Macaca mulatta: one gene and its partner. The main gene of each other region encodes a partner of the protein of the gene in region 2 in a complex. Links are inferred from orthologs where the notes say so. Each region holds a gene or a part of one and is shown on either strand. Other genes may lie near its edges.

Region 1 (11,045 bases), on a different chromosome or scaffold from region 2:
GGAACAACAGGTTTTTCAAGATACAGTTTGGCTTCATTTGCTACCACGGATACAAATGCTGGTAAGTCTGCTGAAATTTGACTCAGGCTATTAACATTTTCTTCAATAATATTCTCCCTAGAAATATATTTCCAAGGATACAGTTGTAAAATAATGCATCTGGAAATGGCAGTAGACTTAAGATCAATTCGGAAAAGTCCAGATGCTGGAACTTCTTGCCACTGATTTGCCAATCCAGATGTTTTGGTGCCAACTGAAGAGAGGCAGAAACTCTTGCCCAAATTACTAAAATGCCAAAGCAAGCTACGGCGACCAAAAAAATCCCTACCAAACCATAAATAATGACTAGATGCTTGATAATATATAAATGACCAGGGACCTTGCACTTCTGAGAAGAGTGACAAAATCTCAGATTCATTCTTACAGGAGGAAAGATAATTAAACAAAATTTGAGTATCATTCTCTTCAGCTTCAACCTTTATTCCACTAAAAATTTCTCCATTCCACAGAAACACATTGCCTCTTTCATCTTCCACAGGCTGGGTAGTCAAAACACCCCTCAAGTGTAGGACGTGACCAGAAAATAAACACTGGTAGTTAACATCAGACTTGAACAATTGTTTACTACTATTGGGTCCCCGCTGTTTAAGATTATATAGTAAGTCCTCTTTTAAATCTTGACTGAAATGCTCAGCAGAAAAGTTTACAGAACAACAAATGCCACACATTGTTACGTGAAATTAGGTTGACTATTTCTTGATTTTGGTCTTCTCTAAGTTTTCTATTTCTTGGTATTCTTTTTTCAGTTCATCCAATATACCTGTTGCAGGGAAGGAGAATAAATATTAAATAACATAAAAATTCTTGGACTTTTACCTAGCAATTCAGAGGGCAAAACAAGCTGTTTACCAAAATCAAACCATATAAACACACACACTGTGCCAGTGCCAATGATAATTAACAACAGGCTACTAACAAAGAATGTTTATCTTTTACAAAAATAGCTTCTGTTTTGCCGGGTGCTCATTTTGGCCCAAGCACTTGGCTAAGCACTTTTTACACAGCATCTTATTTAGATCCCACAATACCTTGGAGGTTTAAAGTATTTCACCCAAAGTCACAAAGGTAGAAAGTGGTAATTGTTTGTCATACTTAGGCCTGTTTGAAACTCTAAAGCACATGTTAATAACTATTGCTAACACATATTATGATATATATATATATATATATTTATTTAAACTGTTGACTCATCTTTGGAAGGCTAACTTGAAGAAAACCAAACTGCTGCATTAATCTTTTGATATATATTTTAACATTCAGATGAGTATAATTTAGGCACCCCCCAAAAGCCACAAAAAAGAAAAAACTTACTTTTGCTCTCAGATAGCATTTCTGTTCGGTCTGCAAGAAAGAATATATTGCTGTTCTGTTGCTGCCTATATACTTTCTGGAAAACATAATTTAGGCTAAAATCAAATTTTGATCTAAAAAGTAGATGTTAAAATCCTTAACCCTATTATCACTAATTCTTGAACTTCAGTAATATATATTTAGTACTATACTTTAGCAAACACAGATAAGCAAAAACACAAATAAAAGTCATCCATTGCCCAACTACCAGAAAGTGCTACTACTGAAATGAAACTATTTTCTCTCCATATACCATTTTAACAAAAAATGTTCTTACTGTACCTGCAGATTTATGCTTTTATCAATGAGCAATATATTGAGAACACTTTTTCTTTTTTTTTTTTTTTGAGACGGAGTCTTGCTCTGTCGCCCAGGCTGGAGTGCAGTGGCGCGATCTCGGCTCACTGCAAGCTCCGCCTCCCGGGTTCACGCCATTCTCCTGCCTCAGCCTCCCGAGTAGCTGGGACTACAGGCGCCCACAACCGCGCCCGGCTAATTTTTTGTATTTTTAGTAGAGACGGGGTTTCACCGGAGAACACTTTTTCTTATCAGTAAGTGTTATTTTACAAGAACACAAAAATGGCAAAGCAAGCTACGGCGACCAAATTATACCTACTGCTATACAGGTATAATATATTACAGTTTATTTGCTCGCTTCAAATACTAAACATTTAAAGTGCTACCAACTCTTTGCTATTGTAAATCAACGTTGTGATGAATATCTTTGTAACTAAATCTTCGTGAACTCCCATGATTCTCTCCTAAGTATCAACTACTATAAATGGAACTGCTGGGTCAAAGTGTTATAGTTTGAGTTGTTGAGATTTGCCCTCAATTTGCCCTCTAGAGAAAGTCTGTATTAATTCTGCCTCAACTTTTTTTTTTTTTTTTTTTTTGAGATGGAGTTCTGCTCTGTCGCCTAGGCTGGAGTGCAGTGATGCGCTCAGTTCACTGCAACCTCTGCCTCCCAGGTTCAAGAGATTCTTGTGCCTCGGCCTCCCGAGTAGCTGGAAGTACAGGCAGGCACCCAGCTAATTTTTTTATGTGCTTCAACTTCTAATATTCCATAAGTGACAACATCAGAAATATCTAACCAGTTATTACATAATCTTTAAAATACTTTTAAGAGCTCAAACTCATTTGTTCCTGAATGTTAAAATGTAATTTGACACTGAAACTATACACAAAGCAGTAGCTTGCTTATTTATATTAATGGAAATGGCATTAAATAACCATGTTACACATTTATAAAAATCTATGTAAAAATTTTTTGGAGGGAGGGGAAGCAATGTATTTTTTTTTGTTCAATAATTATCCACATTCATTTGAAAGAAAAGTTTCTTCTCATCTCAATATAAAGTTTGTTTGTATCAAAAGAAAACACCAAATTCAGGGTATAAAATAAACATCATCAGTGATTACAGCTCCAAGATACCAAAATACAACTAGTATCATTTGTTGCAAATGCAATGTGAATAGCGTATGATAGAAAAAAGACATCTTCAACTATGAGATCTATCCATTTAAAAAATAGACACTTGCAATTTAAAAAGATGCTGAAATACTATACATTTTATTAAAGTATGATTAAATCTCATATATAATTCTTATAACTTTAATATATAGTTAACATAAATAAACCTCCCACATATTTGTTATTCAGAATTCCTATAATAACTCACCCTATTCTTCTTAAGGTTAGAAAGTTCATCCACCACAATTTTTTGTTCTTTAATCTATTGAAATAAAGAAAAACTCCTTAAGCTAGATGTTTTCAAAGTATGTTCAATGAGAATCCCTTAAGGGGTTGTTTTAAAATTAGAGATGGGATAAGGGGCTATGATGTACTGGTTTTCCAAATGGGCAGTTCATGAATATACAGATTATCTTCAACAGCAGTCTGTGTGGGGGTCCAGTTGGGGAAAAGTTGGAGGAGAAAAAACAGTGATTAGACTTGCAAAATGTTAGGTAACCCATTAAGATCAGACAGGGGATTTGGTGTTCGTAACCAGCAATCATACCAAAGACTACAGTTACTCAACAAGGTTTATACCTTTTGTTAAAAATATATGATATACACCAGACCCAGCACGGTGGCTCATGCCTGTAATCCCAGCACTTCGGGAGGCCAAGGCAGGTGGATCACCTGAGGTCGGGAGTTCGAGACCAGCCTGACCAACATGGAGAAACCCCATCTCCACTAAAAATACAAAATTAGCCAAGCATAGTGTCGCATGCCTGTAATGCCAGCTACTCAGGAGGTTGAGGCAGGGGAATTGCTTGAACCTGGGAGGCAGAGGCTGCGGTGAGCCAAGATTGCACCATTGCACTCTAGCCTGGGCAAGAAGAGCGAAACTCTATCTCAAAAAAGAAAAAAATATATATATAAAAATATATATATATACACACACACATACATATATGATATACACCAAAAGGAATTCCAGTCTTTCAATTAAGCTGTGATTTAGATGGGGGGAAAAAAACAGCAAATTGAATGAGGGGTGGGTTACTTTTTTCAATATTTTCATGATTTTATGTACTAATCAGTGCAGTCAAACACATTCAAATCAAGCAATGCCTTATTTGGGGACAGTAAGACCTATCATGTTCCATCTTTGTATTTTTCCCTTTTTAGCTCAATGGCTAGCATGGAGCTGGCACTGTTGAACTGGTTTTCTTTTTTTTTCAAACAGGGTCTTGATCTGTTACCCAGGCTGGAGTGCAATGGCGAGGTGACGGCTCACTGCAGCCTCGATTTTCCCAGGCTCAGGTGATTCTCACATCTTAGCCTCCGAGTATCTGGGACTACCGGCCTGGGCCACAGTGCTGACCTGGGCTTTATTTATTTGTAGGGGAGGGCTCAACTAAGGTGAAAACTAAGTTTCTTTTTAACTCTTTAACTATTTATTTTGTGAACACGACTAATTACATAGTATCACACGAGCCTCTAAAAGCAGCTTTTATAATATTTGTGCTACCTCACACACCTCAGGGATTTGTATCCACCAGTATGCGTAAGGGGCTTGCAATGGTGGTAATCAGAATGGACTGTGTGTCTTTTGAAAATTCACCCCCAATTCCCATGAGTGTGCACCTTTCTGTCTCCCCAGTTGGCAGAGCTGTGGTAATGAGGTTGAATTCCAAGGCCGAATTTGTAAACATTCTTTGAGACTTAACGTTTGTACAGGGCTTTCCCATTTTAGGAATGACAGGTGTACATTTCACTTTACTTCAAAGAAGGTAACTGATACAAAAAGATTAAAGAGACTTGCCCAGATGTCATTGCAAGTTTGGGACAGAACCAAAGTAGAATCTAGGACATGTAGTACCTGAAGGGCTATAACCCTGCCCATCCCCATTTATCTTTAAAGGTTTTGTTTGTTTATGGCAGTTAAGGCTTATATTATATTGGCTTCCTCCCTCCCCCTTTTTGGTATAACAGTGACAACCCAATGCGTGTTTTAGGACCATTGCTTTGGTTAACGGAGAAGCAGCAGCTAACAGGTGGATGAGGAGAGACCAGTTAGGAAGCCCTTGCGGGGGGCGGGGGGCGGGGGTCCCGATGGCAGATGACAGTGGCTTATTTGGGGTGGTAAGTGTTCACGGTGATAAAGGGACATATTTGAAATGAGTTTCAAAGGTAGAACTGATAGGCTTCCATGATGGGCGTCAAGGATGGATCCCAGGTTGCTGGCATGGTTAACCGGATGCAGAATATCTGCGATGGAACAGATTTGGGGTGGGCGGTATTTCCCAAAGTTTAAAAACACCCAACCAGAACTCCGCCCCGCTGCCACCTGGGTCGTGTCTCGGGGCAAATTTCAATATCTCCCTTTTCGCAACTGTTTTCAGAAAATAAAAGGACTAACTGTAGCTGTCAAGTGCTAAGAATAAAAAGAGAAAAGTAGCAGGGCAAAGCCGAGTCCCGGGCAGGCCCCACGCTGCCCCCTGCGGACCAACTTTAGGGTCCTGTGGCGCCCAGTCCCAAGTCCAGGAGCCTTTCATTGCGTCTGACACTCACCTTGCTGCTAAGATCCTCCTTGTGTGGGGTCGAATTGTCGGTGGGGATCAGCACAGGGCTGTCCTCTGGGCGCGTCCCTCGGTTGGGCATTTCCACCCACCGCAAGAAGCGCAGTATGCTCGGCCCTGAAGGAACCTCGAGCATTAGTCACCGCGCATGCGCGCTTCCAGCCGCGCGCACCCTTTCTTTTCCCGCGAGTTTTACCAACAGCGTCTGCGCGCTCACTTGAACGCATGCGCAGGCCGTGTCTGGCCTGGGGAGGAGTTTCGCGCCTGCGCGTGGCTGCTTAGGGCGTGAGTAAACAGTCTGGTTGCAAAATCTGAGGTTCCTGTACTGGCCTCTAGTGGTTGAGATGCAGAAACGCTCAGGTGGTTTCTTCATGACGTCTTATCTAGTATACTACGAGTTATGTGCGCCCTCCAGTGGTACATGTAAAGAATAGCCGTGCAATAGAAATAGCTCTTAATATAATATGTATTATCTAGGGAAAGATGAAGTTGAGGAACATAGGAGATACTGTGTTGGCAATAGAACTATACAGACTTGGTAAAGTTTTGGTTAACTCGTGGTTAGGGTTGCCGGATAAAATACAGTATGAATTTCAGATGAATTCGTAGTTTTTTAGTATGTCTATGTCCCCTGCAATATTTGCAATATCTCACTTCCGTGGAAAAAAATGACTAAAACTTGGAAATAGGCAAAAGAGATTTATTTACTGGATGTTCTTTCAGTGCTGCTCTGAACTTGACTTTATTATGTTGACTTGACTGGGCTGTTTTACAATTCTCTAGGGGCAAAGGTTAACTTTGGTAGAGATTTTGGTTTGGTAGAGATGCAAATAATTTTTTTGGTGTACCAGATACCAACACAGGTTATGATGTATTGTTCTGTAACACATTCGTCAGCTTTGTCTCTAACCCTGCAATTGTGTCCTAACATTTCTTTATTAATATATGCCTAGCTTCTCTAATATTCTGTATTGGTTTTAAAGTCTTATCGGTTCCCTCACTAACTAATGAGTTGAATAAAACTTTGACATGTATTTGTTTTATGTTCACATTAGAGACATGATTTTAGGTTTTTGAGAATTATACTATATTATTGGAAATCTTAAGGTTCCACAGAGATGCCCAAGTGGATTTATGTGATGAATCAAACTGTCTCGCGACAGAAATGTATACATCATGGGTTGTTTAAGTCCAGGCATGTTTTTTATTTGCTCTTAGAGAAATCCGAAGTGGTTATATATTTTTCCTTCTTAATTGATTTTTAGAATTTTGTTTTTGTTTCTGATTTGTATATTCCTGATAAGCTATTCAGGTATAACTTATACATTACTGATGCATTGATAGCAGCAATGATTGGGAGTTTGGTTTTGTGGTCTAACCATTTGGTGGTATCTGTTGGATGATGGACGTCTAGTCTTTCTTGGTAGAGAGGTAGATAGGTGCAGTGGCTCAAACCTGTAATCTCAACCACTTGGGGCTGAGGTGGGAGGATTGCTTGAGGCCAGGCGTTCAAATAAATAAATAAGAGAGGCGAAAGAGACACCAGTTTGTAAGTCTTTTTGTTTATCGTTTGTGAGCTCAAATTAATTAATTACTTTTGTGTCCACTGAGAGGGAAGGAGGACAGCTATTTGAGATGTGGGTTGGTGAGGTTTTGTTTGTTTGTTTTAACATAAAGGCCGCTCAAGCAGAAGAGCTGGTGAATTTTTGTGGTTTTTGTTTACTTTTGACCTGAGATTGAAGTTGTAAAACAGAAGCAATAACCTCTCTATGTGTCTGTGTGTGTCTAACTTAGAACAGACTTTATGTCTCCCTGGGTGAATATAAAATATTTCCCTACTTCTGGAGTGTATTAATAAATCCCACTATAATATCTCTAATTAAAGGGCCTCTGTTCTGACTAGTTTATAGAGATAAATAAGCACTGATATAATCCCAATATTTTTAAAAGCCCAAAATTTCCAATATTTTAAATGTGCCAGATTTTTAAGGAAAAGAGTTCTTACAAAACCGCTAGTTTAGAAACATTTTAAGAATCCAAGTTTAGGAAGAAGCTCCAAAGTGAAGTATCACTTCACTTTGTTGTTGTAATTGTTGTTGTCATTATTGTTGTTGTTTTGAGACAGAGTCTTTCTCTGTTGCCCCGACTGGAGTGCAGTGGTACAGTCTCTGCTCACTGCAACCTCTGCCTTCTGGATTCAAGCTATTCTCCTGCCTCAGTTTCCCAAGTACCTGGGATTACAAGTGTGTGCCACCAACCCGGCTGATTTTTGTATTTTTGTTAGAGATGGGGTATGGTAGTATGTTGGCCAGGCTGGTCTCAAAAGTCCTGGCTTCCAGCTATCTGCCCGCCTCAGCCTTCCAAGATGCTGGGATTATAGGTGAACTGCCAGGACTGGCTTCCACTTTGTTTAGAGGTAATAGTGAGGCTTATCTGTAAAGCTGAAGAGACTGAGCATCCTAGGATATTGGTCTTCTTTGTGCCCCACCTTCTATTGTAGTAGATGGGGGAAGTAAGGTAGGCCGTAGGACCAAGGGGGAGAAGTCAAGGGAGAGTTAATATCACAGTCTAAATAGGTGATTTGTATCAATAATTCTGTCAGAAGGTGACAGGACCTGAGATATTGGACTGATGTTTTCCAACGGGGCTCTAGGATCTGGGAAAGGAACTACTGGATCCTTAACATAAAGTCTTTGCGGGGAGAATGCAGGGAGAATGCTTTGTTGCCCTAGTAACAAAGCACACCAGGCTGGTCTTGGTCTCTCAAGGGAAATGGCAGAGTCTCCAAAGTACTGGTCTAGAGATTAGTAAATCCTTTTTACTTGAGATAAGGCTGGTTCTCAAGCTTTGATTCAAAGCTGTGGAATGTGGACGTCAGTCCTCCCTGGCTCTTGCAGCCAACTTCACTTTGGAGCTCTTGTGCAGGGCAGAAACCTAAGATGTGGTGAGTGTGGTAGGGTGCAAATTTGAAGATGCACTGACTCTCAGGGTCCTGCAGTAAGTGCTCTTAAAATTTTCTGCCCAGGTGCCTCACGTACCCCTCATCTAAGCATATTGGTCTTCCTTCCAATCCACTGCTCTCCTGCCAGTTGGATTTGAAGATTTCGCTGTTGATAGTTCTGTTTTACAATCTAGAGGTCAGTGTGGTTTGTGAATGACACCAATGAAAGATGCTTTATATGCCGCCCAAGCCTGTTGTGTCTTCACATAGTCTGACAGCTACAAAAAAGGTTAATCGAAATTATCTTGGCTTCTTCTAGAACTCTTCCATATGAGTGCCACTGTCCACCTCTTTCCCAAAGACTGAGGACATGCTTGAAACATTTTGGTCTACATTATTGAAGAAACAAAATTAAATGTAATAGTCTGTGATTTAGGTCACAGTACATGGCTGGTCCCATTAAATAAAATAGTTATGAAATGTTTACTATCAGATGAGTTGCAAATAATGATGAAGCATTTATTGTTACTGAATTTGAATTTAGATGCTTTAAAAACATGTGGAAGTATTTCCACCTGAGTGAAGCAATAGGGACAAATAAAGCCTAACTGATATATTAGTGATAATTGTTTATGTACTCAGATGATGTTTTTCTTCATACAATGCCTTCACTATAATGCAGAGCTCTTCACAGCTCAAGTGTTTTTGCCCTACTTCTGATCGTTAGCAATAATAAAGTTTTACCAAATGATTAATTAATATCTGTTTGTGACCACATGTAACTCTGTGTTGGGGTCTTCACAATTAGGAAAATACTATTGCTACCACAGTGAAAGCAAGCAAGTGAGCTCAGTTCACCCGTGTTTGCTTGTAGGTTCAGTTGTTTTGGTTGTAGAACCATTGCCATGCTATGGTTGTTGGCTTGTCCTAGTAAAACAAAACAAAACAACACATGTTTATGTATCTGAGTTTCCAATTATTTTCTAATGGAAGTTGAGATTAAATTATTAAGGCCATACTTCCTGCTGGTTTCATGTTATAATCATAGGTGTGGCTGCCACTGTGATTGAAGTCCCTTGAAAGAAAGGGGACAGGATGGCTTTTGCAGAAGGAGGAATATACAAAGGGAACAGGGGGAGGGGAGGAATTGAAAGGGTAGGAGGGAAGTTGAGCGGTTAGAACTTGGCAGACTTTTGTTCCAAGAACCAGACAATATTATTGTACCACTGGCACTAATATTTGAACTACTAGTGATTTTACTTAGAGTCAAGTTACTGAAGACAAAACACATGTAGGTAGAGTTCTTTGTGAATTCAAATCAATAACTGGGTTTTTTTCTACAAGGTATATGGTTTAAAGTATCTTAGTTGAACTATTTAGAGAAAGCTTAGTTATCTGGGCTTGAAAATTTTTACCACAAGATTCACAAGACCCTGGATCATTTTTTTTTCCATTTATTCCATTCAGGAATTCTATCATTCATAAATTTTATTTTCTTGAAGGTCATAAAATATTTAATGAATTTCCTAAGCATAGTAACCAGACTAGTATATCCCTTGTTATACACAAGGAAGGTTACCTATTAGAGGAAGAACCAGAAAGGAATCCATAGGAAAAGGATACTCTTGCTAGAAATTAAATCCACCTGAAACCAGCTATCTGAAACCAGTATAATCTTTGTTGCTGTTGTTGCTTTGTGTTTGTTTGTTTGTTTGTTTATTTTGAGACGGAGTGTTGCTCCATTGCCCAGGCTGGAGTGCAGTGGTGTGATCTCAGCTCACTGCAACCTCTGCCTCCCAGGTTCAAGCTATTCTCGTGCCTCAGCCTCCTGAGTAGCTGGGATTACAGGCGTGTGTCACCACGCCCAGCTAATTTTTTGTATTTTTAATAGAGACAGGGTTTCACCATATTGGCCAGGCTGCTCTCGAACTCCTGACCTCAAGTGATTCACCTGCCCTGGCCTCCTAAAGTGCTGGGATTACAGGTGTGAGTCACCGCTTCTGGCCCAGTATAATCTTTTATAGTCCTTTTTTGGAGTGATAAACTCTCTTAGAATGATAAGGGTTTCTGAACTCTACACTATCTCAATTTTTTCTCTACTGTTTATGCTTTGCTGTTTTTAATTCTAAAATTATAATTTTTTATAAAAAGTGCTCATAAAAAGTTAACCTAATCCCTATTGATAAACAAAAACAAAATGCAACAGTGTCAACAATTATATAACATCCCTTTGATCCCTCTTCAAAGTGGAAGTTATTCCACACCCTAGGATAAGTCAATTCTAGTCTAAAAATGTGGAATTGCAACTTCTAAATCCGAGATAGCCCTAATTCATTGTGTAACTTTGAGCAAATTCCAGGAACTCTGTGCCTCCATTTTCTTATCTGTAAAATAAGGCTAATAATAACTACCTGAATTATTAGAGTGACATGAAGCTCCCTAAAGGATTACTTAAACATAATTAGGATGAAAGAAGAAACACAAACTAATATTGCATCTCCCTTGGATACGGAATACCCAACCAGAAGTTATTAAATTTCCCTTCTGTAATTGAGGACTCAGGTCATCTCGAAGAACACAGGCTTAAAGCTTGCATAGAAAGACATTTTTTTTTCCCCAAGTGCTTTAGGTATAAAAGAGTAGTTCTCAAAATCCAGTCTGC
Region 2 (10,167 bases):
TGGGCTCAAGCGATCTGCCCACCTCAGCCTACCAAGGTGTTAAGATTACAGGCATGAGCTACTGTGTCCAGCCTCATATTATGTTTAACTTTTTTTTTTTTTTTTTTTTGAGACAGAGTTTTGCTCTTGTTGCCCAGGTTGGAGTGCAATGGCACAATCTCGGCTCACTGCAACCTCTGCCTCCCAGGTTCAAGCGATTCTTCTGCCTCAGCCTCCCAAGTTGCAGGGATTACAGGCCCCTGTCACAACACCCGGCTAATTTTGTGGATTTTTAGTAGAGACAGGGTTTTGCCATGTTGGCCAGGCTAGTCTCGAACTCCTGACCTCAGGTGATCCACCCGCCTCAGCCTCCAAAGTGCTAGGATTACAGGTGTGAGCCATTGCACCTGGCCATATTATGTTTAATTTTACAACTTAAAAATGTGTGGGCCGGGTGCAGTGGCTCACAGCTGTAATCCCAGCACTTTGGGAAGCCGAGGCGGGCAGATCACCTGAAGTCAGGAGTTCAAGACCAGCCTGGCCAACATGGCAAAACCCCGTCTTTACAAAAAAATGCAAAAATTAGCTGGTCATAACGGCAGGTGCCTGTAATCCCAACTACTTGGGAGACTGAGGCAGAAGAGTCACTTGAACCCGGGAGGCAGAGGTTGCAGTGAGCTGAGATCACGCCACTGCACTCCAGCCTGGGAGACAGAGCAAGACTACATCTCTGTCAAAAGATTAAAAAAGAAAAAAAGGTCAGGCACAGTGGCTCACGCCTGTAATCCCAGCACTTTGGGAGGCTGAGGCGGGCAGATCACTTGAGGTCAGGAATTCGAGACCAGCCTGACCAACATGGTGAAACCCTGTCTCTATTAAAAATACAAAAATTAGCCAGGTGTTGTGCTGGGTGCCTGTAGTCCCAGCTCTTTGGGAGGCCAAGGCAGGAGAATCACTTGAACCTAAGAGGCGGAGGTTGCAGTGAGCTGACATTGAGCCATTGCACTCCAGCCTGGGCGTCAGAGCGAGACTCCATCTCTTGGTATTTAAATACCTACACAGTACTCTTTGATTTCACTTCTTATCAGCAAATCATCAAATATTTACTATCTGACTCTTTACAGAAAAAGTTTGTGGACCCTTGAACTAGACACTCATATTTCCATTTCTGGGGTGAGAAAACGGTGGCACACAAAGGTTATGCCATATGCCCATACTTACAAGGCCCATCAGTGGTAACATTGTGATTTAAACCTGGGCATCCTGGCTTTAGAGTCTGTGCTCCTAAAGCACACTACCTTCCACAACTTTCTGCCCACCTAACGCCTCATCCCACCAGTAACTTACGTGCCTGTAGAATCTACTGCCACAGCCCGGACCCCACCACGATGACAGAGAATCTTTGCCAGTGGCTCCTTCATAGCTGGACTCCATAAAGACACAGTACCTGGAAGAGAAGAAGAACCAAAGTTGCTAATACAAACCTGACCCTAAGGTTATTAAACCTGGGAAAGATGGGAACTCAAGACCAAGAGATAACAAAAAAGGGAAATAAAAGGGTAACTTTAAGAGACTCATGAAGGATAAATATAGAAGAAATGCAAGTCAGGATGGTCGGAGAGTCAAAACTAAGCTAGGTACTGACCATTGCTGTGTCCGAGATGGATGACAGCATTGTAAGGGTTCTGACTCATGACATCGAGCCGCCCAGCTCGAGCATTCAGAGCTGCCACGATCTTCCCCACTGATACATCCAGGTAGGTCAGAAACCCTGTTTCTGACTGAGAAAGAGAGAGACAGAGAGAATGACCCAGTCCTGATTGCCCTCTGTATTCCCTCTCCTGGGGTCCTAAAGGAGAAGTGGTCATCCCAAGGGCTGCCACCCAGTTCCTGAGCTCCACGGCCACTCACAGCTGTAGCCAGGAGGAAGTGGAAGGGCAGGAACTCAAGCCGTGTCACTCGGTCACACCGGCGGATACAGTGGAGCTCAATGCCCTGATTGTCATAGATGTGGAGCCAGCGGTTCTGGGCAACAGCAAGCAGTGCCTCAGAATGGAGAAACCTGGGGGAGAGGAAGAGTGGTTCAATTGGGAAATGAGGTCACAGGCTATCATTCAATCAAGGATGGACTATCTCACCACTACTGACCGCTGACAATGAGGCCACTGACCGGATGTCCCGCACTGCCTCCATGACGTTGATCTCGCACATAAGCTTCTTTGTTACCCAATCAAGGGCAGCCACATGACCTCGGCGCCCTCCAAAAGCCAGGTGTCTGTTGGAGGTGAGGGGCAGGCAGGGTGTTAAGGCAGGGGACCACCGACTCAGATGACTTGAGGTCTGCCCCATGCCAGCCCCATCTCTCCAGGTGGGCAGACACATGTTGCTGCAGGTGCTCACCCGCACACACAAGCAAATCAAAGGACCCTCCCCTCATCAACAACCCAAACAAATACTGCGAATGGCTGAAGTGGGCATGGCTAAAGTGGTTAAGGAAACACATCTTAGTTCAAGAGTCACTAGAATTCAACCTTACCTTCCAGTTCGAGAGTAGTTTAGTCTGTAGGGCCCAAATTGCCTCAGATTCAAGTCAAAGTGCTGGGAAAGAGAAGAGTGAAAAAAAAAAAAAAAATGAGTACCCTGCAGGAACGCCTTCTTCTAGCCCCCATTCCTCTCTTGTCCTGCACCACCAATCAATCCCTTGGCTCCTTTACCTCCTCAGGCTCACCTTGGCTGCACTTGCAATGTCCACAGCCTCCACAATGTCAGCCTGGCATATCTTTGCTGTGTCTTCCCCATCCTCCCCTTCCAGAAACCTGAAAGCAAGGGTTAGGATAGCAGTAAAGTTTCCCAATATGAAGCAAGTGTACCAACATAAAAACGAGAAAAGACAGTCCTATAAGGCAAGGATTGGGGGTCCAGATTAGGGCCCACTCACCCCGGTTCCTCAGCAAGCAGCAGCTCAGAACGAGCAGCTTTGATACTTGTTTCCTCTTCCTCAGCTTCAGCCACCTCAAGTCGGCTTCGAGTTTTGGCTTTAGAACGTGGTAGCTATAACATTGTTGGTGGGGAGGAGTGGCAGAAGAACCATAGGATAAGTGGGGTCACAGGAGAGCTACCTAGCCCAGCCTCCATTCAACTCACCCAGACACTCCCTGCCTCCAACACTTCCCAACTCTCCGGCTGGACCTCACCTTTCGGGATTTGTCAATACGACAGAACTTCTGGACCACCTCCACAGGGACGGGGGCGGGGCCTGGGAATGGATCTTGGGCCTAGGGGAAAGGAGAACGCAGTTAGTAGACAGCCTTGGGTTGACCCCAACCCTTTCAAAGCACAAGGCGGCCTGCCTCGCCACCCATTAGGTTCCACGTTCACCCCGGACAAGCTCCGCTGGGACTCCGGGTTCTTCCACTCTCGGGGTTTCTTCGGGACCTGAGGCTGCTTAGAGATCCGAGACTTCTTTAATATGTGAGCATTTTTTGGTCTCTGAGGACGGAGCTCCCGATTCTTCTTGTTACAAGGAGGCCCTGGAGAGGCTCCGTCTGTGGTCGGAACAGTCTCTTCCTCCCAGTATCGCCGCGGTTTCTACAAGCAGATCAGGAACTCTGATACTCCGCACCCACGCCCCGCCCCCCCGACCCCGCAGCAAAAAACTTCCTTTCCCACCCAGGGAGGCCGATACCTTTCTCTTGGTCTGAAGTTTGTCTTTCTTGGGCGGGACATCCCTGCCCGGCTTGGGGGCTGTCTCCATCTCGCCCATCCGAACGGCGATCCACGTGCAAAACTCCTCTCAGCTGCCCCACAGTCGGCTTGAAAACTCCCGGAAGCCCTCTATCCTTCATCCAATCAGTAGCGTACCAGGTCTGAAGCTCTCTAGGCGCCATCTTGAGTGAGGGCACACTCTCCTTAGAGGGGCGGAAGAGCTCTTGGCACCTTATCGGGAGCGGCAGCTTATGCAAGAGTGACTTACAAAAGAAAGGCAGGCCCGGGACCAGGGGCTAAGTAGCGGTGCGGTTTCTTTTTCCGGGTTAGTTTCCCCATCTTGCCTAAAAATATCCGAGTCCAGTCTTTGTAGCAGAACTCCATTCGCTAAACATGTCAGAACTACACTTCCCATCAAGGGTCAGAAAGAAACTTCCGGCGCAGTCTTTTCCCGGCATTCCTCGTTTACTTCCGGGTTTATTACTACTGAAAGCAGAACGTGAATAGGTTAGGATTTCGGTTGAGAGGCTTACGGTCTTGCGTTTCGCCCACCATATCCTGGGGACGGGGTGGAGTCGATACCCAGGACCGGGGGGAGGTGGCGGTGCCCCTCAGGGCTGCCTCTCAAGAGTGCTATCATTTCCGCAGGCGAGATCAGAAAAGTGAGCTCAGGTACCTTCCAGAGAGTGAGACGCAGCGCCCTTGTCTCGCTCCCCGTAGGCTTTCATCCCCGCCATGGCGGAGCTGATCCAGAAGAAGCTGCAGGGAGAAGTGGAGAAATATCAACAGCTACAGAAGGGTAAGGGAGCAGGGTCGGTATGGCCTCGCCCAATGCACTCACAACCCAAAGCCATTACCGAGATAAGGTTTGTTGCCCCATCTGGGCCCTTGCGTGCAGAGACTTTCCCGCTTCAGTACTCTTCCCTATTCACTGACCCGCTGCCCCCATCTTTTTCTGCTTCCTCAGATCCATATCCACCTGACTAGGATTGATGTTTCTAATCTTGCCTTTCCTCTTATCCCCAGACTTGAGTAAATCCATGTCGGGGAGGCAGAAACTTGAAGCACAACTAACAGAAAATAATATCGTGAAAGAGGTGAGGGACTGGGATTTGTGGGGCGAGGAGGGACCTGTACTAGCCATGGTTCTGATCACGTATGTCCCATCCCTCCATCAGGAACTGGCCCTGCTGGATGGGTCCAACGTGGTCTTTAAACTTCTGGGTCCGGTGCTAGTCAAACAGGAGCTGGGGGAGGCTCGGGCCACAGTAGGGAAGAGGCTGGACTATATCACAGCTGAAATGTGAGTCTTTATTCCACCACTGTGTGCTGCACCCTGTGATGCAGTGAACCATTGGAGTAGAGGTGTTGAACCATTGCAGAACAGCTCTCCATAGTGGCCCCTAGTCCTCCAGTTCCTCCAACCCCTTCCTTCCCTTTTAACCCCCCTTCTCCCTTCCCTAATCTCAAGTTTTCCACCTATCTCTTTCTTGCGTTTAGCACCCTCCTTAGTAAGTCCTACTAATTTCTCCCTTTCTACTTGTCTCCCTTGTCTCTCTTTAGTAAGCGATATGAATCCCAGCTCCGGGATCTTGAGCGGCAGTCAGAGCAACAGAGGGAGACCCTTGCTCAGCTGCAGCAGGAGTTCCAGCGGGCCCAGGCGGCAAAGGCAGGGGCTCCTGGCAAGGCCTGACCCCTTGGTGGGGGGAGGGGAGGGGAGGGAATGAGGCAGCTCTAGCATCTATACTGTAGCTAATAAAATGTAAAAACACCTGGCTCCGTTTCCTGACCAGGCGCTTCTGTCATATCCCCACAGTCCCTTCCACCTTCACACACACCACCTGTATTACCCCCTCAGGTTCAAACTCTTGCACTTGGAACTTCTTTGTGGCACGATGTTCTTTCTTTCTTGAAAGTGAAATCCTAAATGTCCTCAAACCTACTTCTTGCCTGTATATACAACCCTTAACTTTCCCTCATCTTGGTTGGCATGATTATTTTGGAAGGGCATTTACAACATAGCGTATTACTAGGAATGTCAGTTCAATTGAAAAAGAATTCACAGTTCTCTAACCTGAGGCCCCAGGATGAAATGTGGTTACCCTCTTTGCCAGCAGCCCTGGCATCTCTATTGGTACTTTTCAGCCTCTGTCTTCCTAGAATTTGCTTGAATGTAGCTTAAACTGACTTAAAATCCCAGCACGTAATGCTTTGTAGTGTATAAGTCCTCCCAAGTTTATATGTTGTCCATAAAGTTGTTCTGCCATTTCCTTGTCCTAAAATTGTTTTATACACATTTGCAGCAAGGGACCAGTGGTAGAGAGGTTACTGAAGAAAAATTGTTCTGAGGAAACTTTTTTCACCAATACCTCACTCACTTTTTGCTCTGTTCATGGGGATAGAAAACATTGTGCCCCTTCCTGTTCCATGGCATCTACCTTCAGCCAATTCCCCACCCCCACTCATAGCAGCCAGTTCATACGCACTACAAGGACAGGGGAGTAGAATTCAGGTAGTGTTTTGGTTTATTATCTTAGTGTTGTCACAGTGATAGAAACCCCCAGACTGGGAAGAAGAACTTCTGCGAGGACCTATTTTTTGCCATTCCCTCTGCCCTGGGGCTCAGAGCCTTGAGGCCTTTGCTTAGCCCTTTGCATATTAGGATATGGCCAAGAATCAGAAACTGATGCGTTTTTTCCAGCACTACCTGTGTGCTGCACAGGTAGGAAGCACACACAGGTGGGAAGCTACACACAGGTATCCAACTTGGTTATAAGACACCAGTTCCCACAGGGCTGGATTTCTCAGCTGTCTGGTAAACCAGTGGTACTTCACTGCCCCAGGATGGCTGGCTACCTTTCTGAATTTCTGTCTCAATGTGATATAACTGCCACCATTCAGGATGGCTACCCACATCTGGTATGAACACCATGACTTCTGTAAGCCAACGGGGCTTCCTCCTCAGAACAGTGCCCGTGCAATCTTCCTCCCTGTGGCCTTGATCCTGGGAAAGGAGCCCCCTCCTCCCTCACTCGGAGGAGTTCCTGAGGCAGACGGGCCACTGGTGACGCCAGGTGTAGCAGCAGAGGACCTTCGCCGCTGCCGCAGGAGGAAATCGTGTGAAGCTCCATCCATGGCGTAGAATACGTTAGCCGAGGCTGGGATAGTCAGCTCTGAAGGTTCAGGGGATGGATGTCAAGCACAAGCACAGTCATTCCCCCCACAGCCGCCCAGATGTGGAAGCACTCCACTCTCCTCCCGAGTCTGCCTTTCCCTCGTGGCCTCTGACCTCGCTCCCCTGGCAGCAGCTGTACCAGCTCATACTCTGAAACCACTGCAGAGTCACGATTGTTTTTCTTAAGGACACGACTGATGACACTTGGAGCCTTGTCCTGGCTTGTCACCTGGCAGGACAGGAGACCAAAAGAGCAATCAATCAGCCATGAATTCCCATCCTTCTACCCTTAGCCACTGAACCCAACCACAAAAGGTTACTTGTGTTCAAGGCTTTAAAAGGAACAGGGAAACCCAATACGGTGGCTTCCTATACCCCATAAGCCAGCCCACATGGTGCCCAGTGAAACAGAGCTGCTTGCCTTTGGGGAAACTGCTGTTGATTCTGAAATTTTAATATGGCCACCAAAAGTTTAAGGTGTAGCAACTAATGCAAAATAGCCATCAAAATAAAACAAATTTTAGCTTGTATTGAAGACCAGAGTTTACAAGATAAAATTAAAAATAAATAACTGCCAAAACCAAAAGTCAAAATTAAAACTACATTCAATTCCATTTGGTTGCCCAAACCTCAGACATTTATAGTCCAACAAGACACCATCCTTCACCCCAACTCCATCCCAAGGCTCCCTCACCAAAATGCTCTTATAGACACTGCCATCTTCCCCCAGCTCCATCTGGACTCGGATGATTCGGCAATCAGAGGCCCCTGGCCCAGATCCCCCTCCCCCATATCCAGTCCCCCCGGAGGCCCCTTCTGCACCCCCACTCAGCGGGGAGCCACAGGAGGCTGAGCGGCGGTGACCTCGAGAAGGCCTAGGGGAGGAGGCTGGTGGGGAGAGATGGCTGGGGTCAGCTGGACTGTGCAGGGATGGACTGCTTTCCAGGGCAGAGTCTAGTGACGAGACAGATGGCCACTTCATGTGCTAGGAATAAACAACATGGGACTGGCATGAAGGCAGGGAGATTAAGGAAGAAACATTTACAGAGTGAGGGTCAGCATCAAGGTCAGAGTCAGGAGCAGAGCTCACCTGGGCCAGCCGAGTCAGCAGAGGAGCAGGAGTTGTAGGCACCTCATCTCCCGCCATACTGGGCCGCTCGCAGGACACAAGCGGGGTAGGGACCCCAACAGAGCCCAGAACCCTACAGTGGCAGGAGATTGGGAGGATCAGAAGAAAAGTGGAAGTTCCAAGTAACCATCCCCCAGCCAGTGAATCTCTCACTCTGTCCACTGCGAGATGACCAATGTTGGCCGAAGCACCCGTGGGGCAGGAGGGTCACTGGAACCAGGTGGCTCCACCTCACAGGATACACGATGGCTGGGTTAGGGGGCAAAAGACAGAGCTCAGGACATGACACCAATCCCCCACACCTGGCCAGAGCCCTAGAGTCCCAACCTCACCCGCCAGTCACCTCTGAGCCTCTGTCAGTGGCCGGAGCCCCTGTAGCCACCTCTGGATATCATGGTCAGGTTGGAGGTTATAGCCACGACATTCATTCTGGAGCCGTCGCAACTCAGAAAGGACTGCAAACTCCTGGGAAGGAGCCCTCAAACTGCAGGAGCCAAAACTCAGGGACACCTGACTTTCCCCCCTCCCCTTCCGGGAACATGGATTGAGAAGTCCAGCATCCAGCCCAGGCACTCCACTCACCTTCCTCCGCTTGTCAAAATTGATGTATCCATTCTGCGAGGAAAATGGGGATGGGGTGGAAGTTCTAACACTACCTTCCAGGCCACAGAGAGAGAATATCCCCTCTCTTAAACACACACAGCCACATCCAACTCACAATCACTTCCCTCTAGCCTCTCTGACTCTTCCATCCCTCCCTGCCTTCCCCCTCAATCTATCATGGCCTAAGCACTGCACTTGACCCTTGAAATTTAATATCTCAGGTAGACAACTAGTCTGCTTTGCAGATGAGAAGACTGGATAGTATCCAATTGGATAGGATTCCTCATCCAGAGAGGATAAGGAACTTGCCCAAGGTCTCAGTATTTGTTTATTTAACAAACTCTAGCAATAGAGCAGGACCCCATCACAAAACCTAGATGTGCTTACGTTTCAGGCATGTTCTAAGCGCTTGACAAATACAATTCATTTAACCCTTATAATAACAGATCAATGTAGATGCTATTTCTAGTTTCTCATTTACAGACCACTGAGGCGACTTGGCACAGAAATAGATCTGGCTTTGTCCTACACTCAGCTATTTGTGCCTTACAGCCCCTTGCAAGGGGGGGATCTGTCGGACCCTGCAGCCCACTTGTTACATCATCATAATGACACACACACACACACCACTGACCTCCAACTCATCCTTGGAGGCTGCATCCAGCATCACAAGGTCCTTCAGGAAGGTGCCAAGGTATGGGACTATACCCTGAGGTCAGGGGTCAGGGTCAGACGTGCCTGCCATTGATGTGAGGGCCCTCCGTCCCTCCGCACTTGCCCTCCCCATTGCCTCAGAGAACAGATTTCATTCTCCTCACCCCTCACCCCTCTGTGCCTCCCTTACCCATCCTTCAGGCTGCTCCCCTAAAACATACTCCTCACCCCTTCATAATCACAACCCCCAAGCCCACCACCCAGCTAGTCACTCACCCCACCCCGGGAGCCAGACCTCGGGGCCTTCTTGGAGTGTGGCTCCAGAGGAGACTGCAACTTTACCTCCTGGTGGTGACAAAATAAAGAGACATGGGGGAGCAGTAGGGAGCAGGGAGAGGGGGGAATGCCACAAACCAGGCTCTCACCTGCACGAGCAGCTCCCGACTCTGGGAATAATTATCCTCTTCGGAGAAAATCTGGCAGAGGCTAGAAAAGACTCTGAGGCTGTCCCTGGGGGAGGGAGAAAAGTGGCCCTGAGGACAGGCCTGGCTCTGTCACCCCCTCTTCCCTGCCTTCTGAGGAACCCCCACCCCAGTCCAATGCCTCAGCCTCCCCACCTGGTTGCTTCCCCCCAGGCTGCCCGAAGCCTGTGGATGGGGCTGGACTGCAGGGCTGACACCACAGCATAAACTGAAGAGAAGTTTCGGAGCAGCCGGCACTCCTGTGGGGGTCAAAGAGAGCTAAGGCTATGGGAGCCCTCTCCATGCCATGGCCACCCACCGTGGGGCAATCTTCTTTCTCACCTCCGCCACGCGGATCCACTTCTCCAGGAGGCGGGCCCTCTGGGGGGGACGGAGTGGCCGTATGGTCACCTCCCCAGGTCCCTCTCCGGTGGAGGTAGCCCCCAGGACAGAACTAACCA

The links. Proteins that work in one complex are often made in the same cells at the same time.
Region 1: PFDN6 (region 2) and ASDURF share a complex: the UniProt entries of both Homo sapiens proteins name them as parts of the PAQosome complex. The link is inferred for Macaca mulatta from reciprocal best matches to the Homo sapiens genes PFDN6 and ASDURF.

The regions. Positions count from the first base shown.
Region 1 is NC_133417.1:94,646,030-94,657,074, reverse strand, and holds the start of ASDURF (ASDURF protein), read right to left. Parts: upstream 5,584-11,045; 5' UTR 5,579-5,583; coding exon 5,435-5,578; intron 3,147-5,434; coding exon 3,093-3,146; intron 1,448-3,092; coding exon 1,372-1,447; intron 821-1,371; coding exon 750-820; 3' UTR 729-749; coding exon of another isoform or gene 1-728. Other genes in the region: ASNSD1 (asparagine synthetase domain-containing protein 1), read right to left, coding at 1-728.
Region 2 is NC_133409.1:148,994,848-149,005,014, reverse strand, and holds PFDN6 (prefoldin subunit 6), read left to right. Parts: upstream 1-4,161; 5' UTR 4,162-4,191; exon of another isoform or gene 4,192-4,404; 5' UTR 4,405-4,419; coding exon 4,420-4,483; intron 4,484-4,710; coding exon 4,711-4,781; intron 4,782-4,862; coding exon 4,863-4,987; intron 4,988-5,247; coding exon 5,248-5,377; 3' UTR 5,378-5,460; downstream 5,461-10,167. Other genes in the region: WDR46 (WD repeat-containing protein 46), read right to left, coding at 1,327-1,426, 1,625-1,760, 1,891-2,041, 2,150-2,254, 2,516-2,577, 2,708-2,795, 2,918-3,030, 3,174-3,254 and 2 more; RGL2 (ral guanine nucleotide dissociation stimulator-like 2), read right to left, coding at 6,646-6,857, 6,974-7,088, 7,554-7,844, 7,950-8,061, 8,142-8,237, 8,332-8,603, 9,226-9,300, 9,522-9,590 and 3 more. UniProt on the Homo sapiens protein: Binds specifically to cytosolic chaperonin (c-CPN) and transfers target proteins to it. Binds to nascent polypeptide chain and promotes folding in an environment in which there are many competing pathways for nonnative proteins.